3 linked regions of the Medicago truncatula genome follow. Each later gene encodes a partner of the first gene's protein in a complex. Links are inferred from orthologs where the notes say so. Each region holds a gene or a part of one and is shown in the gene's direction. Other genes may lie near its edges.

The links.
Region 2: the proteins of probable inactive ATP-dependent zinc metalloprotease FTSHI 4, chloroplastic (region 1) and uncharacterized protein are in contact, whole or in part, in a cryo-EM structure (PDB 8XKV), measured with the Arabidopsis thaliana proteins. The link is inferred for Medicago truncatula from reciprocal best matches to the Arabidopsis thaliana genes EMB3144 and emb2737. Residues at the interface, in NP_201263.2 of Arabidopsis thaliana: Asn149, Phe150, Ser151, Met154, Tyr170, Gly171, Gln172, Arg206, Met207, Pro208, Ile209, Asp210, Gly211, Asn213, Asp214, Asp232, Val233, Val234, Glu237, Thr240, Thr241, Thr244, Phe245, Trp248, Leu252, Phe255, Val256, Tyr259, Asp263, Thr266; in NP_001032071.1 of Arabidopsis thaliana: Pro63, Glu64, Ser67, Ser70, Tyr71, Ser73, Val74, Val77, Ala78, Leu80, Gly81, Asp84, Ile85, Asp88, Lys92, Cys102, Asn103, Trp105, Gln106, Ala107, Leu108, Arg109, Lys114, Gly115, Thr116, Gly117, Gly173, Thr174, Gly175, Ala176.
Region 3: the proteins of probable inactive ATP-dependent zinc metalloprotease FTSHI 4, chloroplastic (region 1) and ATP-dependent zinc metalloprotease FTSH 12, chloroplastic are in contact, whole or in part, in a cryo-EM structure (PDB 8XKU), measured with the Arabidopsis thaliana proteins. The link is inferred for Medicago truncatula from reciprocal best matches to the Arabidopsis thaliana genes EMB3144 and FTSH12. Residues at the interface, in NP_201263.2 of Arabidopsis thaliana: Lys91, Leu92, Arg93, Glu94, Glu96, Arg97, Leu100, Met103, Glu104, Val112, Glu115, Arg116, Val119, Met120, Asp123, Arg126, Tyr167, Tyr170, Asn213, Trp216, Lys217, His220, Val224, Asn225, Val226, Glu227, Val228, Asn230, Val231, Val234; in NP_565212.1 of Arabidopsis thaliana: Leu255, Ile258, Ile259, Asn262, Arg264, Ile265, Gln266, Lys270, Leu273, Leu277, Val279, Lys359, Leu360, Pro361, Tyr362, Thr363, Tyr364, Leu366, Lys368, Glu373, Asp382, Lys384, Arg385, Met390, Glu392, Tyr398, Asp401, Ile402, Pro403, Leu404.

The regions. Positions count from the first base shown.
Region 1 is NC_053044.1:47,335,666-47,342,707, reverse strand, and holds the start of probable inactive ATP-dependent zinc metalloprotease FTSHI 4, chloroplastic, read left to right. Parts: upstream 1-4,018; 5' UTR 4,019-4,157; coding exon 4,158-4,391; intron 4,392-4,489; coding exon 4,490-4,724; intron 4,725-5,393; coding exon 5,394-5,775; intron 5,776-7,042. Other genes in the region: O-fucosyltransferase 38, read left to right, coding at 1-8, 611-747, 859-1,072, 1,184-1,368, 2,074-2,169, 2,451-2,589. UniProt on the Arabidopsis thaliana protein: Functions in chloroplast biogenesis and chloroplast division. Required for plastid development during embryogenesis. Might be involved in chaperone functions or play a structural role in the thylakoid FtsH complex.
Region 2 is NC_053043.1:39,212,579-39,219,849, reverse strand, and holds the start of uncharacterized protein, read left to right. Parts: upstream 1-4,253; 5' UTR 4,254-4,320; coding exon 4,321-4,545; intron 4,546-5,403; coding exon 5,404-5,468; intron 5,469-5,611; coding exon 5,612-5,710; intron 5,711-6,210; coding exon 6,211-6,346; intron 6,347-6,447; coding exon 6,448-6,507; intron 6,508-6,650; coding exon 6,651-6,710; intron 6,711-6,994; coding exon 6,995-7,117; intron 7,118-7,271.
Region 3 is NC_053049.1:19,170,019-19,176,966, forward strand, and holds the start of ATP-dependent zinc metalloprotease FTSH 12, chloroplastic, read left to right. Parts: upstream 1-3,930; 5' UTR 3,931-4,048; coding exon 4,049-4,420; intron 4,421-5,670; coding exon 5,671-5,855; intron 5,856-6,859; coding exon 6,860-6,948. UniProt on the Arabidopsis thaliana protein: Probable ATP-dependent zinc metallopeptidase.

The DNA.
Region 1 (7,042 bases):
TAGGAAAGGTTTGGCCTTTTTTCGATGCAACTGCTATGCTCCTATATGTGCCATAGAAATATCATCTGTGCATCATATTGGGATTTATTAACTGATAAAATTCTGGGATAGAGATTAAAGAGGAAATAACCGATTCAATTCTCACATTTTTTTTGTGTATTAAATTATATACTAACATTTTTTAAAGCATTTTAAATGAAGCAATTTAGGGAGAATGAAAAAGGTGATATCATATGTAAAGATACAAATTAAAATGAACTGCTTTCCATTTTGTGCCTAAATAATAATTGGAAATCCTTAAGAAAGTTGTACTTCAAAGGAGAAAGAATAGGATTCAGACTATTGTCTTGAGGATTTTCTTGAATGAATGTTTTAATTTAAGAGGATTTTCTTGAGGGCACATGGATGCATGGCAAATTAAATATTTTAGATGCTGAAAAGTTAGATTCAAACCTTGCCAGTTTAAGTCCAATATTTCTGTACATCATGCTAGAAAACGATGCATGTGATCCCAGGATCACAATGTCCTTCACTTTTGATGCATTTAAGATGTCTACATGGGGCTTCGTGGTAAATTAGGTTCTGAGCATACATGACGGTTAAAAAACAGAGGTTGGTAGATCGGCTGAGATCACGCGGGGAAAGATATATTGCTCTCCATCTAAGATATGAGAAAGATATGCTATCTTTTACTGGTTGTGCTTATGGTCTGACAGATGCAGAATCTGAAGAGCTGAGAATTTTAAGGTGAGATCAGTTATTATATGTGTGCTGAATCATTCTACCATGTATTTGAAATATATATGCCCAGCAATTCCAATGATTATTTTTAAGAAAAGTTTGTTTCAATTCTTCTAGGGAGACTACAAATTATTGGAAAGTAAAAAAGATAAACTCAACAGAACAGAGAATTGGAGGATTTTGTCCATTGACTCCAAAGGAGGTTGGCATTTTTCTTCAAGCTCTTGGCTTTCCCCCATCAACACCAATATACATTGCTGCAGGGGAGATCTATGGTGGTAATACTCATCTATCAGAGCTCTCTTCCCGCTTCCCTAATCTAATCTCTAAGGTGCGCAAACTAATATGTTGTCGAACTGTGTTAACAAGTACTTCAAATAGCTCATAATCTTTGGGTGAGGCGCAGTGTTCGCCTGATTAAGTGATTGATAAATGTTAACAGGAATCTCTTGCAACTCCTGAAGAGCTAAAAGCTTTCACCAATCATGCATCTCAAAATGCTGCAGTCGATTACATAATCTCTGTAGAGAGTGATGTGTTTGTTCCATCTTATTCGGGAAATATGGCACGAGCTGTTGAGGGACACCGCAGGTTCTTAGATCACCGCAAAACAATCAACCCAGACAGGTACTGAATTCAAGAAATTATAATTGTAGAATTTTCTTGGGAATGTTGATACATGTGAGTTTTGAACTACCTATAGAGATATAGGCTTGTTTTCCTTCCGTTTATTTTGATTCTGTCTTTTCCAAAATGTAGTTATTTTTTTCCACCAGTGTTCTATAATCAAGTCAATAATCACGATTAAAAAAAGGATCAAACTTAGGTACAGTACCATAGATACCGTGCTTTGTTAATTGCACATACAAATATCACCAAAATTGTTTCCCTTAAAAATAGGAGAAGGTAGTTTAGGTAAAATTTCAGTGTATAACAGTACAAACAGCACTTATTGTACTGCATCTAAATTTTTTCCTTAAAAAAAGTCAATAATCGATCATCTAAGTTTTTCTCAAGCTTGTCTGAGCATCGTATTCAGCTTTTCTCAAGCTTTCATTGTCTACTTCAGTTATGATACAAGTTGATGGGATTCCCCATCTGTTCCCTTTCCAATTATATTGATTCCGCATAGTATATAAACCCTTATTTTTGTTCCATGAAATATATATATATGCTATGGAAGTTTAAATAATTTACCGTCTCATTATTTCACTTGCTTCTGTAGAGAAATACTTGAGTTTCTGATAGTTCAGAAACTGGACCACCCAGAGGCCTTGACAATTTTAATTCTTCAATATATCTCTTTAATCTTCTTATTCCTTTTATTTTCAGGAAAGGACTTGTTGGAATATTTGATAAGCTGGAAACTGGAGAGCTAGTAGAAGGAGCGGCACTGTCACATATGGTGCAGCGGATGCACAAGAACAGGTAAGTTTCTTGCTTAATGTTAAATCATGTTTTTGGGCTCAATAGATTCCCTCTCCTTTTTGTCCCTCATTTGTGACCATATTATGAATGATTTGATGATTAGACGTTAAAATCATTAATTTTTCTTTAACATAGAAGTTTTTTTTTTTTTTTTTGCCTTTGAATCTGTAATATATTTCCTTCTGTTTCATCTATCATTTCCCTTTCACCTCTTGTTGACTTCAGTTTGCAAATTATTCAAGTCAAAATAACTTCCATATTTTTCTTAATCGTATGTGCAGGCAAGGAGCTCCAAGGAAAAGACAAGGTTCATTACCGGGAGTTAAAGGCCGGGCACGTTTCAGGACTGAAGAGTCCTTTTATGAAAATCCATACCCAGAGTGTATATGTGGTTCGAGAAACAAACTAGAAAGAATGTGAAAAGAAACCATACAGCAGTTCCAGTTCCAGTTCCAATCTAAAGCTTTTGGAAGGTCTTGTTTATATGCGGAGATGTTTTAGATAGACTGTAATTGTAACTACCCATTTCCGACATGGGTGGTTCCTTGCGTGTGCCTTGAACCAATGTGGTCGCAGGGGTTTTGGAAACCCATAACAACAAACCCACAGTGATGGCAGCCTAACTCCTTAGCTGTACAACAGTTCACTTCAAGTAGCATTGAGCCATCGGCATTATATACTAATTCATAGATAGAATACCCCCGTCCCATGTGCTTCCGAAATGAACTCTAGTCTACAGGTGAAGCCATTGCGGAAGGCAAGATGTTATTACATTGTAAAGTTTAATAGCTTCCCATCTTTGGTTATTATGTTTGACAAGCTAGTCTCGTCTATCATCTTATAGTTAATTTTTTTGGTAGATGACCTTATCCCTGTTAGTTTATAATTTGCTTATATCAACTTATAGCATTTTTTAGATGCGACTTGAACTAGTATGTGATCTTATAGCTTATTAATTCTAATTAATTTTTTTTTTTATCTCTATTGTATATTAAGTTAATCATTTATCATCTTTAAATAAAACAAAAAATGTATCTATATTTATTTGTCATTTTATACTTATTTACTAAAGATGGTGTATCACTTTATGTGGGTTTTATTCTCAAATTTAGATGGACCTACGTGGATTTTATCATATATAAGAGTGTGTTGGAAATAAAATATTAGGGCGAGTGCTGTAAATCATCCCTATCATCCATACTACGATTTAAAATTGCCATTTTGTTTATAGTATTAATTAATTTTTACGATTATTAAATCTTTTCTCATTCTTTCTGTGTGATGTAGTAATTCTCTCACTTGGAGTAATAAATGAAGTAAAAACCCAGTAAAATTTGATGTTTTCTCCGGTCTTATTTATAAAATGGGTTTCAGAGTCAATTTTTTCTTATAAATACGATCGGATGGAGTAATTTTATTATGAGATAATTAATGAATATATCAAGTGTCGAAACTCATTCACCACAAAATTTAGACGTGGTTAACCATGATTTTCAAATACTCAATTACACGTAGATTTAAAATTTGTATTCAAGTTTGTGGTTAATGAAGTTGCATTGTTACACTACTTTTATTTTTAGTCAAGTAGCTTATAACTAAAAATTTATAAGAAGGGGGGTATCTAGGTTTAAACATAGACAAATTTAAAACCTACTTTATCAACTATCTAAAAAAAAATTAACCTTTAACTCTAAAAAAAAATTAACTATTTATTTAAACTGTGTTAACTATTTAAAAAGTTATCGTGAAAATCGTCTAAAATTAATTTTCCAAAATCATTTCTCAATTGATTCGAAAAATTATTAAATTGTTTTACACAGATAAAATAAAAGAAGAGAAGATAAACAATGATATTCCCATAAACCCAGACAAGAACCCCAAAATGCAGAAAACAGACAGATAGTAATCAAAGTAAGAGTGTGTTTTGGATATGATGCCAATGACTATCTGAAACTCTTCCTCCCTTCATTTCGCCATTGCTTCTAAACATGAATCCTCAAATTTCAAACAGAATCGAATTACTTCAACTCCCAAAACCCTTATTCCCTCGCAAAACCTTCTTCTTCACCCAATTCCCTCATTCTTGTTTTTCTCAACGCCTTCTTAGAACCAAATTCCCATACAAAAACCCTCGCAACTGCAAACTCAGAATCACCGCTTCCAATGTTTCAAATACATCTTCCTCCAACGATGAAGATGCTCAATCTCTTCAGCTTTTCGAGGTTAGCTTTTAATTGAAAAAAAAAAAATGAAATTCTAGTTGTATAAGGTGAAAATTCATGTTCAAGTTGTGAATTTACGAGAAAAATTGTGTGTGCAGAATCGGGTGAATGAGATGGAAGAACTTCAGAGGAAGGCTAATGTGCAGTTAGATAGGCAACTTATATTGGCTTCTTCATGGAATAGAGCTTTGTTGACTTTTCGTGGGAAATTAAAAGGAACTGAATTGGATCCTGAAAATTCACATAGGATTGATTTCAGTGATTTTTTGAAATTGCTCGACTCCAATGCTGTCAAGTCTATTGAGTACTCTGATTATGGACAGACCTTATCAGGTGCCACACTTATTTATTTGAGTTTATTTACTGGCATAAGCTCTTGTGAGACTGTTTGGTACAGCTTGCGTAAATAGCTTGTGAGATGTCCATAAGCTGTTTTCGTTTTATTTTCATATAAGCTCTCCATGATAGCTTATGAAAACAACTTATAGCTTATATGAGAACAGTTTGACTTAGGGTTTGTTTGAATTGACTTATTTGAGTTTATCTACTGGTTATAAGCACTTGTGAGATTGTCTGAGAATGCTTATAGAAACAACTTATGATACGTCCATAAGTTGTTTTCTGATTATTTCCATAAGTTCTCCAGGATAGCTTATGAGAACATCTTATATCTTATGTGGAAATCATTTGAATTTTGTTATAGAAGTAACTTAAACACAAGCACTTATATGATAAGTGCTTAATGAAGCAGGTTATCCAGACAGGACATTAATTTTATCTTTAATTATAGCAATAGCTCGTATATAAGTACTTATATGTTTATCAAAACAAACTTCTGAAGGATGTGCTATTGGGATTTTTTTAGCTATTTCACATTATCTTATCATGCTTAGAAATGCTCCTTCTAATGAACAATGCATATGTTGCTGTACCAGTCTGGTTGGAATGTGTATTGCTGAATGCTGTCTTTTTTTTTTTGTGTGTGTGTGTGTGTGTCTGCAGTTATTTTACCATATTACAAGAACGTAAAAACATCAGGCACTGAAGAAAATCCCAAGGATATTGTTTTTCGGCGTCATGCGGTTGATCGAATGCCGATTGATTGTTGGAATGATGTTTGGGGGAAGCTGCATCAACAAAATGTAAATGTTGATGTCATTAATGTAGATGCTGTACCTGCTGAAGTATACTCAACGGTTGCAACTGCAGTTGTATGGTCTATGCGTCTTGCCCTGGCTGTTGGATTTTTTATGTGGATTGATAATTTGATGAGACCAATATATGCAAAGTTGATACCTTGTGATTTGGGAACTCCTCCGCCTACCCCACAAACTAAGGTGCCAGCCTTAAGAAGACACGCACTTGGTTCTCTAGGCAAAAGTCGGTCAGTGCAATACTTTTTCTCTATTTCCTATCCCACTTCCCCTTGGTTGACTGAAATTTCATTTTTGTGTAGTGTTAGTTTTAGTTGCTTGAGATATGTCATTCTGCTTGTAATTAAGATTTACTAGAAAGTTTATCTCTTTCTTTGGTCTTAATTGCTGATGCTGGTTTTTCGTTAGAAATTTAGAACCATTTTGCGGGCAAGGAAAATATGACCTACTTGCATTTTCCCCTTTCTTCCACTTGAAACTGATGAGCGGCAATCATTAATGTACCTTTCAAAAGCTTTCATTGGAAATTCCTGTTTCATGATCAATAGGCTTTTAGGAACTTCCGATGTACATTCAATTGAAGTTGTTCAACTTCAGAACCTAGCTATGATGTTTGTTTGAGATTCGTTGTTTGATCTTGAAGCAAGCATATCTAATCTCTTATTCATTTAGGAATGACATAATGCAAAACACACTTTCTGTACAAGAAAAGAACCCACAGAGCTTTGGGATTGATCGAGAGAGATTACAGTTGTATATCTAGTGTACCATATCATATATCATATCAAGAATAAAAGGAAATAAGGAAAATAGGGAAAGAATAAAATACAATCAGTACTTTTTTAAAAGAGGTGCAACATATAATTCAGTTGCTGTCAGGAAAATTATCTCAAAAACTCAAACTTTCTATTCGTTCATAAAATCATGTTTGAATTCAGATTAGTCTGCACAATGTTACTAGTTACTGTTTAAATCCTAAGTTCTTAGTTACTTTGCAAGTCCTTACACTGTAAGCTTGTGGGCTGCATTGGTTCTACTGCACTTCATAAATCAACTGTTAAAAAAAAATCATTTAGAGGATTGAATTTGTCCTGTACATTTTTTTTTTGAAGTAACTTGATGTGTAAACTTAAAGGAAAATGGGCAATACACCGTTCCTTTCAAACTTGGATTTTCCATTTTTGTTTTACAATGGTTGATGTATGAAACTCTATGCTGATTTTGGCTTGTCTTGGGTCTTTATCATCCTTCTCCATTGTGATATTTTGAGGTATTTCAGGGGGTATATTAGTGTGTGTGTGTGTGTGTGTGTGTGTATATAAGCCTTCATGCAGGGACTGGAAAGGGGCACGAAAAATAAATGTGATTGAATTTCATAAATAGTTAACAAGCTTTTCCTTTTAACCTGTTGAGTTACTATGCTGTATTTATTTTAATTTGAAAATTCAACCCATCGTAAATTTTATGAAACCCATATACTCACTGAGGACAAAGGAG
Region 2 (7,271 bases), on another chromosome or scaffold:
TATATGAGAATAATGAATTTTTTTTGGGTAAAAAAAGGATGCGATAATATACTTTAACTACATGAAAATATTAATTTTAATGTGTGATTTAACATTAGCACCCTAAAGACATAACTATCCCTGCAAAAAAATAAAGACATTGATCTCACTAGTAGTAAAAAAACTAAAATTCATGATATAATAACTATTAGATTATGTTTCCTTCAAGAAAAAAATTAGTAGATTATGTTTATTTGACTTTGTACTAAATTTTTTATTACTACCAGTTATTTTTTTAACAATATAATACTTTACAGTATCTATATGTTAATTAATTTATTAATTGGATTATAAACGCTCTTGAAATGCATCGAGTTCATATTTTAGTTGAAACAATCTTTTATAAGACTTTACTTATCTTAAAGTGAACTTTAAGTTATTAGAGCTAACTTCCTTGAGACTTTAAGGTATAAGAAAAAATAATTAATTATATCCTCCAGTTACGGTTATAAGCAAAACTCAATATTTTAGGTTCATTTATTTAATGATGTTTGTAATCTTGCAAGTACAAAATGTAAAATGCTTGTTTAAGTAATAATACAGTAACTAATGAGTACACTATACATAAGGAAATACAATTGATGACATAATAAGAGACAACTGTACATAGTCATCCAGCTTCTTCTACTTGCCTTTGCCACGATCAACCTGCTTATCTAAAATGAAATAAAGGGATTGGGGTGAGACATGATGTCTTAGTGAGTTCCACTTATCCTAGACTATAGGCAATCTTGGAAACCTATGATCGTCATTTATTTGTACATAAACATAATTTAGGGTTTGTTGTTCTATTTTGCACATCGTATCGATCTGGGGAAGTCTAGGATCATTGACAGTATACTATCATAATTCTTGTCATATCATATCATATTTCATGTTATCATTCTTTTTGGTTAGCACTGTGAGCGTGTAACACACAATTATTATCAGAGTTCATTTTACGGAATGCATCGGGTAGAGTAACCCCAACCACATTCCACTGTTGTCTGATGAAATTTCATATTGTATCAGGCTAACATCGGAACTCCTCTTATCGTCATGTAGGACTTGCATTGGAAAAATGTATGTCCACTACTGACGGGGAACCTCAACTCCAGTACTGACGCGAAGTGCGAATGCCATAACTTAACTGCTTATATAATTTCTTATAAACATAATTGTTGAAATTTGTCTTCAAATTTGTGTTTTGGGAGAATAGAGAAATCGTGACACGTCGTGTCACAATTTTCAGGCAGCGAGCATGGTTTTTCAGGGTGCTCAATCGTGTCACGTTTTTAGGAAAACGTGACACAATTTTCAACTTGCTGGGCACATTTTCAAGATAAGGTTGGCCGTACCTTGGGTCGTACGCACCAATCGTGTCACGATTTGGACAAACATGACACGATTTTGACAACTGAAGACTGCTATATAAGTGTTCTTGTGCAGATTTTGAAGAAGAGCTTTTAGAGAGAGAAACTTGGATTACAAAGGAGGTAACTTTAGGGTTGAGTGTCTTTGTAGTGAGGATCTCTTGGGTTGGGGAACATTGTAAACACCTTGGGTAGTGAGATTTCGCCATTGGAAGGATCAAAAAGCTTCCTTTTGTGTTTTCTCTTAAGATTCATTGAGAGTGAGGGTGACACAAAATGGGTAGAAATTAAGTCTTGTTCTTGTGTAAGCTTATAAGCTAATTTCTTGTAACTATTTTGTAACTCTTTCATCATAGTGGATTGGAGGGCTGCTCTCTCCCCCAAATTAGGTCATATTGGACCGAACTGAGCCAACAATCTTGGTGTGTTTGTTCCTTTCTTTCATTGCTTATCTTTATTACTTTGATTATGCTTGTGGTGTTGCTCTACACTTAGATTTAGGTCTGTTTTTGTTGTTGATGTTTGAAGACACTTTATCTATTGATTACCACTTCCTTTGATCCACACATCTTTGTTATTCATTTCCTCCTTTACTGATTTTGCTACAATGATCAGCCAAGTGACACAAAATTTTCACGAGATAGCTTATATATATGTAGGAGGAAATGACCCAAATGCCCTTCTTAAGAATTTTCCCCGATTACTAATTACTTATACATTATTTTTTTTTCTTGACATAAACTATTAATTTAATTATCAAACTACCATTCTGGTTTATAATCTCTATGAAAATACAATAAATATTCATAAATATACGAAATCCATCAATTAATTAGTAGCTAATATTAAAATTAGCAATCAAATTGATAGATTTTATGTAATTTAAAGATGAATTATTATATTTATAAATAAATTGAAGAGAGAGTGATAGTTTTTGAGACTAAATAATAGCCGACCAAAAAAACTAGTTAATTAATGGATTTTCTCTTAGAGAATAAAAACAATATAATAATTTACATATTTATTTTTTTATTTAATAAAATTAGTAAATTTATCCCCTCTCGTAAAGTATTTTTCATAATATGTCCTTGTGAGCTTAGCTCAGTTAGTATGAATAATGCATAATAATATATAAGGTCCGGGGTTCAAACCCCAGCTACCACAAAAAAAAAAAAGTATTTTTCTTAACATGCAACAAATCTAATGCCATCGTTGAACTTATTTTGTTGAGTAAATAACTCTAGGAGTATTTCATATTGGTCAGAGGGACTTATAATAGGAAACCAATTGAGTATTTTATATCGATTGTGCATCAATCAACAATAAAAGAGATGGGTTTCCTTAAAAAAAAAAAAAAAGAGATGGGGTTGGGTAGCTCAATAGTTTGATCTTGAACGATAAGAAGTTGGAGGTCTTGGTTCAAACTCGGGTAAAAGAGAAAAACTAATCTAATAACTAAGTATAGATCAATTGTTAAGGAATAAGAAGTTGGAGGTTTGAGTTCAAACCTGAACAAAGAAATAAATGTCAATCTAACAACTTGAATCACATAATTAAAAAAAGGTTTCATAACACATCTTTACATGGAAATCCGTTGAGGAAACAATAAATGTCGCATTTACAATTGTTTGAGTCACCTTCCACCACCGTATTCGTTCAATCTAGTTTTGCGTCCAAGAATTCCTATCAACCACCACTTGACCTCCTTCAATTCCATATTTGTCCCATTAATTTCGTAGCTAATTCTTGAGACAAATATGAAGAAGAAGGGGGATAAAGGAAAAATATTTTAAGATGAAATCAAGAATGATAAAATGAAGCTATGAGATTGAATTAATCAAATGAAATGATGAAAACAAAGAAAGAAGAATATTAACAGATATTGAAGCATAAGGAAATCAGAAACCCTATAGATGTTTGATTACTGTGTGTTGTTGAGGCAAAGACTCTGTTGGGATGGCCATGTGAGGGCAGTAGAGGGGTGGACGCGCAACACATAGAAGTTTCTCAAAAATTAGAAGGAACAAAGGAGAGTGGAGATAGGGGTGTCATGGAAATCAAAATGTTGCATATGGACAAAGAAATGTGCCTTGGTAAAAACAATTGGTTGCTTCGTACAAAGTATTATTTGGTAAACTTCGTGTATAAGTAATGTAGAGTTCATGAGAATTTATTATTGTCGAAATTATTGCTTTGAAGACGGAAATGACAATTCAAATTCAAACTTGTATATGCAAGGTTAGCAAGAATTGGGAGGAAAATGGCTAGTTAGAACCCGCAGTCCATTATTATATTCAGGGGCCGGGGTTCGAACCCCGGACACCCTACTTATTCATTCTATAAGGTAAATTCTGGCCACTAGATTACCTGACAAAAAAAACCGCATTTAATGTTGGCGTGAGCCTTATTACGTAAGCTCATGTGAGGGGGAGGGAAACCAAGCTTATGATCAGGATTATTCAAAAGCTTAACCTAATAAGCTTTTATAAAAAGAAGAAAGAAGACAATCTCAAATTTTCAATATTTTATCATATCGACTTTTTTTTCATATACACATATAAATTTTGTTTTTTATATAATTACCGCAGGGGTCTTCTACTAGTTTGTATTAAATAATCTATCATGATACATTTTTTTTTTTTTTATCATTGAATTTATTTTTAACCAAAAATGCAAAATGTGAGTTTTTATATTGCTATATAAATATTTCCATAAAAATAAATAATACCGCAATAAAATAAGAGTTTTATGATACCGAATTGACGATCTAAAACTAACTTTTCACACAAAATTAATCAAAAACATTTAAAATTGATTTATGAAATTATGAGGTAGTGAAATTTATTAAACTCCTTTCCCTCTTTGAACTCTATCTATCTTCTCTATCCACTCCCTTTCATTCACTCAGTCACTCTCCTCCCGCCACGCCATGCCCAAACGACCTCGCGGTTTCGGCAATTTCGTCAAGAAATTCTTCAGAAATCGCTTCAAGGAATTCAACAACGCTTATGGCGAAACAGTTAGCGATGTCTTTGCTTTCCCCTTCAAAGTTCTCTTCACTCCTTTGACCGTTGCAATTGATATTGCTGGTTCTGCTCCTCGTGGCTTTGGTGTTCCTGAGCTTGTTTCTAAGCTCTCTGCTGCTTCTGTTTTTGTTAGTTTTGCTTACCCTTTTGTATTTTAGCTTTAAAAATCGATTCTTTTTGTGTTTTGCTTATCTGGGTTATCGTCAACTAGTTCTATTTGTCAATTTTGTGTTTTTTAAGGTGAATTGTGTTGTTTTGTTGAGGTTATGTTTTTGGGTTTGTGGGGTTTTGTGGAAATTATTGATGTTTTTTTGTTTATTTATTTTTCCTTAGTTTCTGGGTTTTGGAGGAAATGAGATTTAATGTTGGGTGCTTTGTCGAAAATTGAAATGAATGTTATGTTGCTATGAAACTGTGACACCTACACGAGACATGGCACTAACACTTCAACGCCGATGATAGTTTGAAAAAAATGGAAATTTGAAGGTTGGTGCTACATAGGTAATTTCATCAAGGGTGCTACCATGTGCCCTTGCCATAAGGGCACATGTTAAGGTACTTGAATGTAGAAATTTTGCATTGAAAAGAGCAGCTTTTGGACATTTAAGAAATTGATTACACAACTGTAGTTTTTTTTTTTTTAAGGATAATGTATGTAGTTTCTTAACATTAAGGGCACATGTTAGTTTCATCAAATGAGATTATTATTTTTTTTTGAAAATTGCTGCTGATACATCCTTTATTGTACTCTTTGATGGACTTTATTTGAGTTCATCAATTAGTCAATGACTACCACAAAATGTATTGAGTAAATTTTTATCAAATAATAGATAGTGTATCAGAAAAAATGTTATAAAGTGTGTTGCTAGTGTTCTTCTTTTGATGTTTGCAGGAATTGCATTGTATGCAAGTATCACCATTGTTAGTTCTTTGTTTTGTTTTTATCTTTATTTGATAATGAATATTGCTGCATGGCTTGATTGTAGGCGGTTGCTACTTTGGGGACTTATGACATTGCATTAAACTTGGGAAGGAAGGTGATATGTCAAAGGTGCTGTTTTGTTTTGTATTTATTAATAGATAGATTGTTGTTTCCTCACTTGAGGACATGATGTGTATAATCTTTGGTTAGTGTAGTGTTGTTTGTTGCCTTTGGAATTATTGAAATCTAACTAAATGTGTTATCAAGAACAGGGACTGTGTGACATGTAATGGATGGCAGGCCATGCGGTGTACCATGTGTCGAGGAAGTGGAAGAGTCCACTATCAAGTGAAGAATTGCCACCTGAAGAGGTGAGTACTCTCCATGTGGAAAAAAGTCAGAGTTTACAGGCATTATTCCAATGTAGTTTGTGGTTTATTTAGTGTTATTGTTGAAGTTTTTAATAATGAATTAATGATCTCACAAACTTGTAAAACAGTTGATTCCAATCTCATAAATTGAGATTCTAGTTGTATTTTAATACTCTGCAATCTTTATCTTTTCGGTTCATTTTTGGTTACATGTCTAGATAGTTCAAGGAAACTTCTAAAGTAATAAACTTTGCACTATAAACGATTATAGTGACTCTTACTTAGATGGTCTTTTAGAAGGCCTCTTAAGAAAACGTACATCTGATTTAGAACAATTTGGGTATGTAAGATAGTGCAGTAAAGTGTTTTTCCGTAAATAACTCCCTCCATTTTGATTCCTTGTAGCATATTTTTTTAATCATAATTTCATAGGATTCTCTCTTCGAACTAATATATAAATACCTTATATTTTCTTCTTCAATTTATTTATTCACTTTTAGTGGAGAGAAAGCGACGGCCGAATCTGTTGCAGATGCCATTGTCAACAACCAGGCTGAGTTAGTGCACATACCATCATCCTCTTTCGATCCTCAGATACCATTACCATCAAAAGACTGTCCAATTTGCGATGGAACGGTATGAACTCAATACAATGGCTGTTAACATGATTGATCTAGTAATTTTGCACGCCAATGCTGTTGTGATTTGTGGTTGAAGAATTTTTCGATATTGCACAGGGTGTAATGGGATGTCCTGAATGTAAAAACAAATTACCATTTAAGATTTCAGCTGATGGTGTGAGTTAATTTCTTTAATTCCTTGAACCTATTTTTTCTTTCTTTCTAAATTGTTAATTTTTGCTGATTCATATTTTAAACTTAAATATCATTTGAAATTGTGATAATTCTTACCATTTTTACGTGCCCTTTCTTTGTTTAAGATTATGGAGCCCCATTGGCAAGCTCGTAATGTCTTGGAAAAGATGGATTATCCATATGAGGTCAGTCGTCATTCTAAATTCTCACCTAATTCTATCCGACCAATTGCTATTATTGTCAAAATTGATAAGATAATGTAGACCTCTCTCATATACTACGAAAACAAACCTTGATGCCATACATTTATAGTCATTTGTTAACCTCTCTGTACTATTACCATCGGAGTGAATGCTTCTCTTAGATTTACATTTTATGCAAACTACTAATTAGTATTTTTTTCATTTGAGATTCTCACTCTTATTTGACACCGTATTCTTAATCTTTTTTATGTTTTTAATATTTTCAGCACATAAGGGATAGCATGAAAGATCCCGATATTGCTGAATTTTGGTTGATTGCCTATCCACAGATTATGTATGGATTTACCTATGGCGACAATGCAAAGAAGACAATATTGTCAGAGTATGAGGTTGTTTGTTCATATTCCTTCTTATTTTTCAGTTTCAGTTCAACTATTCATGTATTGATTTGTCCCCTTATTGGTTTTGATATGCTTTTATTTTTCCTTTTGAATGTCCTCTTTGCTCGTTCAAATTATTCCTTTTGGACTTATCAATACTAGT
Region 3 (6,948 bases), on another chromosome or scaffold:
TTTAATTGTGGAGAAGTGAAGTGTCCGGGGTTCGAATCCCTGCCCCTGCATATAAAATGCGATATCCCTACCAATTGAGCTAAGGTCACGGGGATAGAGTTTTTCTTCTTTACTCATAGTAATATATAACAAAGTTAGAATGTTGACTTGAAAGTCATATTTTAATTCTATTGTAAATTTTAAAAAGAAGCAGCTATAATTAAAATCAATTCATTTTTATTCTAACAATTACAATTGATTTACATTATACATTTATTTTGTACTGACAACTTACATGAATAAAAATCTAGACAAAATTACTCGTTATGACACATGTCGCCTCTAAATTACTTGATTTTCTACCCAATAAACAATTCCATGTCTTGGTTCCTAAAAGGGATATATGGGTGAATCAAAATTGATTGGTAATAATAATAATTGAAAATTGGATTTTCTTCCCTATAAACTTTTCGATGCCTTGGTTCCTAGACATAATATATGGGTGAATTAAAGTAGATAGATAATATAAATTAAAAATTAAAAAATAAAACTTAAAAAGTTCAACTAATTTTTCCATACACATAGACACAAACATTTTGTTGGCACAGTTTGTAGAGGACAACATTTAGGGTTATAAACCATGACTTCCTCTCTTAGTAAATTCTACACCATATTCATCTTGATCTTGCTTTGTCTTGTATTTCTCCTTATTTTCACATGGGGTAAAAATCAACTAATAAACCTATATTTATTTGCACGTGCTTCTTTAATTCTATGCCTTGTTTAAGTTTTTATTTTTTAGTTTTTTAATTTCTTTTATTATTATTTTTTAATTTTATGTGTAGAGGTGGAAGCAAAACTTTGTGGTAAGCCAAATAGAACATTGTCAAGCCCATGTATTGACTCAGTGTGCTATGCAAAGTGCATCGACTCGGACTTGGATGCAGTATCTGGTTCTTGTGAAGGCTTTTTTACTTCTGAATGCTTTTGTTACTACGAATGTTGAGAAATGAGTTTTCCTTCGAGCAATTTCTGCCTTTGACATTTTTGTCAAATTTAAAATACTCTCTATAGTCTCACATATACATAAGTACTAGCATAAATGACCCGTGACAAGAGCATGTTAGTTTTTTATATAAAAATGTAGATCATTTTGGACTATCATGTGAAATTCTATTTATATTATGTAAAATTTAAAATGTAATGAATAAACCGTTGGAACATATTTTGAACACTTACATTATCCCTTCCAACAATATATACTTGTTGCTACGAAGACTTTTGCAGCTAAATTTGTAGCAACTCTCTAGCAAACTACCTTAGCTAGAAGTTTGCTACAGAATACCTATTGAATTGGCAGTAGCATTAATTGAGTGACAAATTTTCTAGGGAAATTGTTCTTGGTAAATCCATAGTAAATAGAAAAAAAATCCTAACAGATATTTAGCTATTAGATTGTGTTCTTGTATCTACTAAAGTCATGAACGTATCATGCAATTACTTGTTTCCTGGTAACCTTACCAATGATGATAGCAAGTTCATGCATTACTTTCTCAAAGAATAATTAAACATACACTGTGGAGTAACAACTTTTGATGGGTAGAGAATAGTCAAACATCAAATGGCTCGTCATACCTCTATGACTTGTGACTTCTACCAACTTAATTGCAACTTATAAGATACATACTAATTTTCTCCAGAAAATAGCTTATAATCTAGACTGGTTTCTGGATTATAAGATACATACTAATTCTTTGTTCATATATCGTTTCTTCAGAGTTTGTTTTATATAGACTTGCAGCAATAGTAACTACAAAATAAATATTGGAGATTTGCTCCTATTTGCATATTATGATATGACTATATTAAATCCATACAATAATTACAAATTTCAACACATATATTTACAATCATCTCATTACAATTGATATTAGAAGTGGCAAGTGCTTAGTTTCTTATATTTCTCCTAGCTGCTCTACTCTTTTCACTATCTGTGAAATAAACATGTGTCCCTTGCCAACAGAAAAGAACACTAAATTAATACATAAATTGAAAATTTTGGGCATAAGAATATATTGGTGGATACATAGCAAAGAAGCTATGAAGCTCGGATAAGGATACAAGTGCGATTACGATACGATACGGGTACACGGATATATGAACTTTTTTAAATGTAGGATACAATACGGCACATTAATAAAAAATTTATACTAGAACTTAAATGTATGTAAAATACTTGAATGAAGTAAACATTGATTATTCTTTATTATTATATTAATATAAAAGTCAAAATTTTACAAAAATAATACATGTGATCAAAATAAAAAAATGTAAAGTTTTCTTATAAACCATATTATATTTTCATATGTTCAGATATCGAGTGAAGCATAATTAAAAGAACTCAACACAAATTTTATTTAATATTGATTAACTGAATCACATCTCTCTCGTTATCTTCATCCCACAAAAAATATAATTTTAAGTGGTTCATCGAGAAACAATTCTACTGATGCATATCTAAAATTGAATCATATACATCTCAATTCAATTTTTACAACATTGTCTCAATTTTTTACTCCTCATATTTTCTAGGATAAGTATATGTAAAGTATCTTATAAGTATCATTGTGTATATGTGGAGTATCATATAAGTATCCGACAAAATATTTTTTAAAAAATTTAAATAATTAATTCCGATACTTTGTGCTTACGTATCCACGAGTATAATATTGATATCCGATACGAATACGTCTCTATTTTAAAGTATCTGAGCTTCATAGCTAAGAAGTATCATAATTATTCTTTTTACTTTATAAAAAATATTTCAACAAATACCTATGAAATACTACTTCACGAATATAACCAAATACACATCTTGTGAAAGATAAGGGCATAAGGTGAGACAAGGTTGGTGAAGTTGTTTCTCGATGACCAACATTAAAAAATAAAAAATTTATATTTAATTTATGTTCAGTTAAAAAATTAGAATTATTTTTGGGACATATTCTTATAATATTTTAAACATTCCTAAAGATTTTCATTAAAAAAATAAGAAATGAAATTGAAATTTTTTAAGAGATTAAAAGTGAAAGAAATTTTGTAGAGGAATTAAAAAACATATTTAACCCAAAAATATAAATGATACACATGAATTGATTTAAATTTAGGAACCAAAATTGTAGATAATTTTCATTTAACATTTTAAAATAGGTTTAATAGCAGTATTGGCCTCTTAATTATCAAAAAGTTGAGATTTTGACCTCCTAACAAAATAAAATACAATCCAGCCCCTTAAGTATTTCCCTTTTGTAGTTTTGGCCTCCAATGCCAATTTTGACCAAGTCAATGCTGATGTAGACCCCACTTGTGTAACTTTTTTATTTTTATATTAAAAAAATAAAAAAATTATTTTTTAATTAAATTTTTTTTTGTACATTGACTTGGTCAAAATTGGTCTGGGGTGCCAAAACTGCAAAAAGGTCGGTATTTAGGGGGTTGGATAATTGGATTTTATTTTGTTAAGATGCCAAAATCGCAACCTTGTGATACTTAGAGTGTCAAAACTGCTATTAAACCTTTAAAATATTATCAATTTAATTATTTTTTATAGGCAAAATTACACATTTAGTCCCTTAACTTAATTTCAGATAACAGTATGGTCCTTTATCTTTTTTTCATTTCAATTTGGTCCTTTTTGTCTATTTTCATGAGTTTTTAAACTTAAAATTCATGATTTTATTTTCTTATGGTCCTTCAGTCTTTAAATCTATGATCTTCGTCTATGTTTGTATAAGAATTTAGATTTGAAACTTGAAAATGTATATGAAAATGGACAAAAAGACCAAATTAAAAAAAAAAAAAGGTAAAAGACCAAACTGTTATCTGAAATTAAGTTAAATGATTAAAAATGTAATTTTGCATTTTTTATATGATTAGATAAATAAATGAAACAAAGGATGATGGATAAACCCCTTCATCCTCAACGTAACATAAACCCCAAAATTCCAAAATCATCTTTACTACAGAAATGAAACCAAGAACCTCCTGCTCCATGTAGAAAAATCCATCAATGGCTCTCAAATTTCCAAACCCTTCAAACCCATTTCTTCTTTCATCATCACCACTAACCCCATCTCTTCAAAATCCTAACTTTTTCACTCTACACTTCAGTAACCATCGCAGAAAGCTCAAGCTTCGAGCTTCATCTACAGCAGACCCAAATGGAGCTGATGGGTCATCTTGGTCAGAGTCATTGGACCGCGCTTCGAGGCGGTTTTTGGTGAAATTTGGAGATATGGTGAAGAAAGAGACGGGTGTTGATTTGGGAGATGGGGTTGGGAAGGTTGGTGAGTTTGTGGATGGTGTGAGGAAGGTTGGAAGTGAGTTGAGAATTCCGAGTTTGGATGAGTTTGTTGATTGGAACCGGTTCGAGAATTGGAAGGTAATGAGATTTTTACTTTTGTTGTTAGTTTTATTCATAGGTGATACGAGATAGAATTTAGGCCGTGCTTGGATAAGCAACTTATTTGCAGCTTATAGCACAAATGCGTATGTATAAGCTAGTTATATAACAAAAGATAAATGAAAGTTAAATTGTTATTGTATATGCTGTAAACTGTTTCAATAAGCTATCTTCGAGAACTTATGAGAATAAGATGAAAACAGCTTATGACCAGACATTGGTCATAAGCTGTTTTCGTAAGTTCTCACAAAACTCATGCCGTTAGGTAAACTCAAATAAGTCAATCCAAACAGACCATTTAGTGTTTGGTTTGTTAAGATTGTTTCGTTTTCATTGGGATGATGTTTGAGTTTTGGTATAATTGTTACTTGTTAGGGACTGTTAATTTACCGATAGTTACAAATTTTATTTTCAGTATCTGTTGTATTGAACATGAAAATGTGAATAGGAAATAAGGTGACATTTTTGTAATTATAAGTGAAACTAGAAAAATGATAGTTATAGTTCCGTAAGTACAACTTAAATAGTAAAAGGGTGCAGGGACACTTGACATTCGGGGGTGCAGGTTCGAACCCGCAGTTCTCCACTTCTAGTGTTTGACAACATCGCTTTACATACTTGACAGGATATGATATGATAGGATAGCATTGCATTTGTTTGATGAGTGGGAGTAGATTATTTGAGCTTATCTATAGACATAAGCACTCAAGAGACTGTTTAAGAGAGCTTATGGAAGAAACTTATGATATATTTATAGGCTGTTTTCGACTTATTTCAACAAGTTCTCTAGGATAGCTTATGAAAACAGCTTACAGCTTATATAAATTATTTTTGATTTGATTTTATCTTTTGTTATAGAGGTAGCTTATACATAAGCTCTTGTATGATTCACGCTTCTGATCTAAACACTTAATTAAACTGTTTATTTAAACAGGGACATAATATCTCTCATTTTCTTTACATACCTGATAGGATTGATAGGACAGGATAGCATTGCATTTGTTTAATGAATGGGATCGACTTTGTTGGCATTTATGTATTTTCTATCCTAGAACCATTTGTGTCCTGATAAATTTGTTTTGACCGAAAGAGATGCTATATAAACTGTTGGATCAGCATGGCAGAAGTGGATTACTTGCTTTATTCGTATAATTGGCTCCAGTTACTTTTGTTATTATCTATTTCTTTTTAAATATGAACTAAAACAATGTAGTTTATTCTTATACCAGAATGTCAAGAACTGGGAACCTAGGCGAATCGGTGCTTTAGTTCTGTATATATTTGTTGTAGCATTTGCTTGTCGAGGAGTATTTGTAGCAATTCAAGCACCTTTCCTAAACCACCAGAGGAAAGAGTCGACTGAAGCCTACATGGAAGTGTTAATTCCCGCGCCAACCCCGACTAACATCAGAAAGTAAGTCAAGCCTCGTTTATTCATTATGTTTGGCATTCATATGTTATATACACTTTTGACATATCAAATTGTTGGTTATAATTCTCTTAGAAATTAAGTTGTTCATTTATCGAACTTTTTCTTCTTCTTTCGGAATGTATAATATTCATTCACTACTTAAATCCTACTCAATAGAGTTCTAGTTACTAAAACAAGACAATAGTAGAGAGTGTTCAAAAGAGAATGTGGGTAGCTCGTCTCTTTGAACTACATGCTGTCTTGTTGATTTGACCAAGACATGCTTGATGTTGAGTGTTCCATTTTCTTGGCCTTGACATTTCATGAATGATGATGTATTTACACCCTTGGTTTCAAATTGAGGACTGTGCTATTTAATGCAGCCATAATAGTAGTCGAGGAGTTATAACCAGCTTGTCTAGAGTTCAAACACTGGAAACTAACATAACCACTAATTTACTTATAATAACATTTTCCTGTAAAAAAATAGTAGTTGAGGCATGGCATTTGGCATCATGTCGAATTGTGGGGGGTTTCAAATATCCTCAAAAAAATCATCCACTATGTATTTGCGGCGACTGCACCAGCTTATAGAAATAATGCTGTATTTTTTATTTCAAAAATAAAATTTCATGGCCAGAAGCTTGAAAAATTTCGAAGCTGTTTTGACAGTAACTGGCATTGTATTTGCTCCCTGCAGCAGTTACAATTACAGTGACCAAAAATCTAGTATGTAACCTCAACTGTAATTTAATTTAAAGCTATGACCACAACTTCTCCATGAACTAAACAATACTACAACATTAATGATGCTAGTACTTATAAATCATTATCTGTGAATTTTCTTGCGTATAATTTTGACATTGCCCTTAAAACCCCCAAAAGCTTCTCGCCACTGTTCAAACAATTGCTGACCTATCTGAATACTAAATTGAAATCAATTTCATGTACTGAATCATTTAATGTGTTGTATGCATTTAACCAAGGTTTTCATCATTTAATTGTAGATTCAAGAAGGTCGTGTGGAGGAAGACAATGCCAAAAGGCCTGAAAATTAAAAAGTTTATTGAAAGACCTGATGGAACACTTGTTCATG